2 linked regions of the Macaca fascicularis genome follow. The protein of the gene in region 2 purifies or fractionates together with the protein of the main gene of each other region. This does not show direct contact. Links are inferred from orthologs where the notes say so. Each region holds a gene or a part of one and is shown on either strand. Other genes may lie near its edges.

Region 1 (3,823 bases), on a different chromosome or scaffold from region 2:
TTTAAATAAGTCTATGATTATACCATTTGTCAATCAATTTTTTTTTTTTTTTTTTGAGACAGAGTCTTGCTCTGTTGCCAGGCTGGAGTGCAGTGGTGTGATCTCGGCTCAGAGCAACCTCTGCCTCCCAGGTTCAAGCAATTCCCCTGCCTCAGCCTCCTGTGCAACTGGGACTATGGGCACGTGCCACCAGGCCCAGCTAAGTTTTGGTACTTTAGTAGAGATGGGTTTTCATCATGTTGGGCAGGATGACCTCGATCTCCTGACCTCGTGATCCGCCTGCCTCAGCTTCTCAAAGTACTAGCATTACAGGCATGAGCCACGGTGCCCAACCCGTCAATCAATTTTTAAAAATCCAAAACAACAGTCATGGTATGAATAGCTATAGGCCTTTATGTACATTTAAAAATAACTAAAAGAGCATAATTAGATTGTTTATAACACAAAGGATAAAAGCTTGAGGTGACTGATACTCCATTTACCCTGATGTGATTATTAAACATTTCATGCCTGTGTTAAAATATCTCATGTACCCCATATTTACCTATGACTACCCACAAAAATTTAAAAAATAGCAATAGGCTTAAAACATGGGTTCAGCCGGGCATGGTGGCTCATGCCTGTAATCCCAGCACTTTGGGAGGCCAAGGTCGGTGGATCACCTGAGGTCAGGAGTTCGAGACCAGCCTGACCAATATGGTAAAACCCCATCTAAAATTACAAAAATTAGCCAGGTCTGGTAGCGTGCCCCTGTAATCTCAGTTACTCAGGAGGCGGAGGCAGGAGAATCGCTTGAACCCGGGAGGCAGAGGTTGCAGTGAGCCAACATCGTTGTCACTGCACTCCAGCCTGGGCGACAGAGAGACTCTGTCTCAAAAACAAAACAAAACAAAAAATCCAAAGAAACATTGGTTCAAATCTTTTTTTTTTTTTTTAATTATTTAGTATGTGAGTGATACTAGGTGAGTCACTTAATTTCTCCAAATCTTGGTTTCCACACATGAAATACAGGAATAATAATAAGTGCCTCTGAAGATTATTGTGAATGTTCTAGGGATAATATACATGAAAGCATCCTACCTACTATGAGCTAGAAACTTTGCTAATATATAAAGTTAACTGGATGATTTTGATTTTTCAGTTCTGTTTGAAGGTGAGTACTCCTGGTGATGCACTGTTTATATACCGATCAAACATTATTTATTGACTACTATGTGTCAGGCAGTTGCCTTAGGGCTATGATCCCAGAGCACAGTGGGCCACAATACAGGCAAATGCTCTGCCTCTACAAAAACAACAATCTGGTTGGGGAAGACATACAAAACGCAAGTGAGGCCGAGTGCCGTGGCTCATGCCTGTAATCCCCAACACTTTGGGAGGCCAAGGTGGGTGGATCACCTGAGGTCAGGAGTTTGAAACCAGCCTGGCCAACCTGGCGAAACCCCTTCTCTACTAAAAATACAAAAATTAGCCAGGTATGGTGGCGGGTTCCTGTAGTCCTGGCTACTCGGGAGGCCGAGGCAGGAGAATCACTTGAACCTGGGAGGTGGAGGTTGCAGTGAGCCGAGATCCCGCCATTGCACTCTAGCCTGGGTGACAGTGTAAGACTCTCTCAAAAACAAAAAAACAAGTGGACAAATAATATTTTACATACTAGTATATTTATGTATCACTTCATCCTATTTGTCAGAGGTTGGCAACAGAGGAATGTGTGCCAATGGGAGATGGCTGTGTACCACAAGGGCAGAGGTTTCTCTGATACCTTTCTACCTTCCTAATCCCTTCTCTCACTGTTCCTCACGAGGGATTTCACCATCTCAATATTTTCTTTCATTTTTATTCTCTTAGTCAATGAATACCAGGCAATCAATTCTTGAAAGGTGTTAACAACGAAGCTGTTGGGTTGTGAGATGAAGACAAAGGGGCAGGCAGGCCACAGAAATGAGAAACACAGCAGGCCCAAAACCACAGTGAGTGCCAGAGACTCCAGAGCACAGTGCTTGTCTGTCCCGGGTGGGCAGGTGCCAGTCAGCAGATGACTGCCATTCTAGTTCCAGTGATGCTATTAGTAAGTTTTCTGATATTTTTTAAAGAAAAATTCCGAATGTGGATATTTTCTAAAGGGGTTATCTCTCAATTTTTAAGTGTTGGCGACTAATCAAATCTGTGCACCAAAACCCACAAAGGCTTGGGTCCTTTGGTTTAAGATAAGACTTTTTTTGGGGAGGTATTAACATTTTATAAGAGATCAGCCTCCTTAGAGAGATATGGAGACGTAGGGTGGTCTAAGAAAAATCACTTCTCCTTCCAGCCAAGACTGGTATATCACAATACTAGAGGGAAATAATTACTGTCATGCTGATAAGAATTTTAAGTGGGCTGAGCGCAGTGGCTCAAGCTTGTAATCCCAGCACTTAGGGAGGCCGAGGCGGGTGGATCATGAGGTCAGGAGATTGAGACCATTCTAGCTAACACAGTGAAACCCCATCTCTACTAAAAATACAAAAAAGTAGCCGGGCGTGGTGGCAGGTGCCTGTAGTTCCAGCTACTTGGGAGGCTGAGGCAGGAGAATTGCTTGAACCTGGGAGGTGGAGATTGCAGTAAGCTGAGATCTCACCACTGCACTCCAGCCTGGGCGACACAGCGAGACTCCGTCTCAAAAAAAAAAAAAAGAATTTAAAGTGTACATTTCTAAGATGTTTTTAGAGTTAGCTAGTGAAAACACAATTCAAAAACATAAGCCGTTTATATGAGAATACTGACTTTCAGTAATATCCATTTATACTTTTGCAAGAAACTGTTCTTTAAGTTACTCCTTAAAATAACGATTAACTTTTTTTTTCTCTTTTTTTTTTTTTTTTTTTTGAGACAGAGTCTCACTCTATCGCCCAAGCTGGAGTGCAGTGTCACGATCTCCACTCACTGCAACCTCTGTCTCCGGGTTCAAGCAATTCTCCCACCTCAGCCTCCCCAGTAGCTGGGACTACAGGTACCTGCCACCACATCCGGCTAATTTTGTAGTTTTAGTAGAGACAGGGTTTCTCCATGTTGGCCTGGCTGATCTCGAACTCCTGACCTCAAGTGATCCGCCCCCACCCTCGGCCTCCCAAAATGCTGGGATTGCAGGCTTGAGTGATTGGACCCCCACCTGCTTAATACTAAATAACGTATGAGAGAGTACAATGAAACAACTTAGGAAGTTTTTCCTTTTAGTTTTCTTCATTTCTCTAGTAAGCCAGTGTATCTTTATCCAAACAATTCATTGTGGTTTTTTTAAGAAAAAGTCACAGATGGAAACAAAGTTACCTGAATGCGGAGTCTCTGTAGAAATGGCAAACCACTTTTTTACTCTCCTTGACTTCTTGAAAAAAATCTCTTTCACTAGGGATTTCTCTGTATTCCCCGTGTCCTTTAGAAAGCCATTCCTAATTTGGAGAGAAGCAAAACATGACACATGTGAAATCTCTCTTTCAGCACCACTTGACATTTTAAGTGTCCAAATCACTGTCGTATTTTGTAATGAATTTAAAAACAAAAAAACCACTTTTTTTTTTTTTTTTTTTAGTTCCTTCAAGTAGGGACTGAAGGAACACGATTCTCAACAGCTGTTGCCTGTTCCCAATATCGTAGCTATATCACAATACTGGAGGGAAATAATTACTGTCACGCTGATAATAATTTTAAGTGGGCCAGGCGCGGTGGCTCAAGCCTGTAATCCCAGCACTTAGGGAGGCCAAGACGGACAGATCATGCCTTTTTTTTTTTTTTTTTGAGACAGTTTCACTCTATCGCCAGGCTGGAGTGCCGTGGTGCAATCTCGGCT
Region 2 (3,064 bases):
GATCAATGCACAAGACAGACTCTCACCTACCAATTACACCCATTAAGCCTCCTGTGAACCCAGTAATGCTAAGGACAAATGCAATTATTTTGGCAGGCAATAAACCTCACTCCAGAACCCTAACTAGCTACTAGGTTTATTTGTCCCTAAAGGCAGGTCCTGATTTCCAAGTCAGTGCTTGTAACTAAAGCTTAGTTTTTAAGCATAGGAAACATCAGTCCAGTTTTTCTGGGAAGACTACGTAAACATTTGAGGAAAGTATGAAGCCATGAATGATGAGGCCATTCTTTTTTTTAGAATGGAGCAGTCATGGCTGGGCTTAATACAATGTGATTTTCTTGACAAGTTACTCTGCCCAGGCCATCATGCTTGATCTCTGGTTAATTACTTACAAGCTGCCCACATGCCTAAGGAGCAAAGAGTCATCTGATTGCCAGGCTCTTAAAGTGATCCAAACAGCACACTTCATAAGGAAGCTCCCGACTCCACTTTCAGCTGTACTGGAAGTTTCCACTGTTGGCTGTTTCTTGTCAGTGTGACACTGGCTTCTTGTTCTCTGAACTTTATTGACATGAAGGAACCAGTCCAGATTTTTTAAGTGACTTTAATCAATTAGTTGTATATAGAAGTCAGCCACCTACTCACTCAGTGTGACTAAGATGACCTCAAAAGGGGTGTCTCAGCTTGAATCAAAATAGGCTAATGAGCACTTCCTCCTACCCCATAGTTATCCCATAAACCCAAGACCATCTGGTTCAGAGATCCAATTAATTTAGTGAGCAGTCGCATTTTAGTTGCAATGCCAATAGTCTCATTTCAGTTGCAAAGAATGATTTTTGTAGTTTGGTCTCAGAACCACAAAAGAAACTCTTGCCCCACTTTATTTACCAGCTTGCGAATTCGGTCCAACACGAGGTCAATGATCTCCTTGCCAATGGTGTAGTGCCCTCGGGCATAGTTATTGGCAGCATCTTCCTTGCCTGTGATGAGTTGCTCAGGGTGGAAGAGCTGACGGTAGGTGCCAGTGCGAACTTCATCTGGAGAAGATGACGGTGAGGAGCAGGGGAGAAGGAAAGAGTGGGTGAGTGGGTGACTAGCGGAGCCCCCAGGACAGACCTCCTGTCCCAGCACCCTGGGATCTCACTTCGGTTACTGAGGTCAACTCACCAATGACAGTAGGTTCTAGGTCTACAAACACGGCCCGGGGCACATGCTTGCCAGCGCCCGTCTCACTGAAGAAGGTGTTGAAGGAATCATCTCCTCCCCCAATGGTCTTGTCACTTGGCATCTGGCCATCAGGCTGGATGCCATGTTCCAGGCAGTAGAGCTCCCAGCAGGCATTGCCAATCTGGACACCAGCCTGGCCAACATGGATGGAGATGCACTCACGCTGTGGGAGGAAGAAAGGAAAATGTCAGGATATGATACATCAGATGGGACATTTAGGAATGATTCACACCTAATGACTGATTAACCTTCAAGACAGATAACTGGCTGGGCGCAGTGACTCACGCCTGTAATCCCAGTACTTTGGGAGGCTGAGGCAGGTGATCACCTGAGGTCAGGAGTTCGAGACCTGCCTGGCCAACATGGCAAAACTGTGTCTCTACTAAAAATACAAAAAAAAAATTAGCCGGGCATAGTGGCACACACCTGTAAGTCCCAGCTACTTGGGAGACTGAGGCAGGAGAATCACTTGAACCCAGGAGGTGGAGGCTGCAATGAGCTGAGATCACACCACTGCCCTCCAGCCTGAGTGACAGAGATTCCATCTCAAACAAAAAAAGATAACCATTTTTCAGCAGGCCACTCCTGCTCAGGGACTACTTTCAAAAGTAAAAATTTTTGAAGACCTAATTCAGCAAAAATGCCTTGGAAAACCAAAGATATGTTCATGAACTACTCGGCAAGACCAGACCGTTGCTTTGTAGCCACAGTAGATATGATTCCTTAAACTAAGGCAAAATTCCCCTTTCCAGCTCTGATTCATTCTCTGAATGATTGTGTAACTACTGAGCTCATTCTGGTCCTGCTTTAATCCTATTCTTTGGGAGACAAAAGCTTCTGCCTCCCTCCTTTAAAACCAGCTTAAACCAGCAAACTACAGCCATATGACTCATGAAGAAAATGCTGGATAAGCAGCAGTTAGCTGTATTTTAAAAACTGTGGTCAGAGGCAGCTTTTTAACCATGCAGAAGAATCTGTTAGGAAGAACATTTTTCCTTCACCATCAAAACATCTCCGGGAGAGGGAAGACCATAATAATAAAGGCTAGAAATGTTACCAAGACTTTACTGATAGGTTAAGAAATCAGTTGTTTCTGGCCAGGTGCTGGCTTACACCAGTAATCCCAGCACTTTGGGAGGCCAAGGTGGGCGGATCACCTGAGGTCAGGAGTTCAAGACCAGCCTGGCCACATGCTGAAACCCCGTCTCTACTAAAAATACGGGAATTAGCCGGGCGCGGTGGCTCAAGCCTGTAATCCCAGCACTTTGGGAGGCCGAGACGGGCGGATCACCAGGTCAGGAGATCGAGACCATCCTGGCTAACACGGTGAAACCCCATCTCTACTAAAATACGAAAAACTAGCCGGGCGTGGTGGCGGGCGCCTGTAGTCCCAGCCACTCGGGAGGCTGAGGCAGGAGAATGGCGTGAACCCGGGAGGCAGAGCTTGCAGTGAGCTGAGATCCAGCCACTGCACTCCAGCCTGGGCGACAGAGCAAGACTCCGTCTCCAAAAAAAAAAAAAAGAAAAAATACGAGAATTATCCAGGCACGGTGGTGTGCGCCTATAGGTCCCAGCTACTTGGGGTAAGCTGAGGCATGAGAATCACCTGAACCCAAACCCAGGAGGCGGCGACTGCAGAGATCTCACCACTGCACTTCAGCCTGGGAAACAGCCAAGACTCAGTCAGTCTGTGTCTCTCTTTCTCTCTCTCTATATTTTTTGAGGTAGACCAATTTAGAAGGGCCAGAGGGGCCAAAGCAAAATATGGTTAGAAGTTACCAAACCCACACCTGCTTAGTAAAATAAGGCAACAAACATAGAATCTGTACACACAGAC

Evidence for each region.
Region 1: the proteins of tubulin alpha-1C chain (region 2) and TXNDC9 purify together in Homo sapiens (co-immunoprecipitation; 3 studies listed by BioGRID and IntAct, counting the BioPlex papers as one, with this or other methods). This does not show direct contact. The link is inferred for Macaca fascicularis from reciprocal best matches to the Homo sapiens genes TUBA1C and TXNDC9.

Annotation. Positions count from the first base shown.
Region 1 is NC_088387.1:3,821,932-3,825,754, forward strand, and holds part of TXNDC9 (thioredoxin domain-containing protein 9), read right to left. Parts: intron 3,426-3,823; coding exon 3,307-3,425; intron 1-3,306. UniProt on the Homo sapiens protein: Significantly diminishes the chaperonin TCP1 complex ATPase activity, thus negatively impacts protein folding, including that of actin or tubulin.
Region 2 is NC_088385.1:56,088,029-56,091,092, reverse strand, and holds part of tubulin alpha-1C chain, read right to left. Parts: intron 1,391-3,064; coding exon 1,168-1,390; intron 1,038-1,167; coding exon 889-1,037; intron 1-888. UniProt on the Homo sapiens protein: Tubulin is the major constituent of microtubules, a cylinder consisting of laterally associated linear protofilaments composed of alpha- and beta-tubulin heterodimers.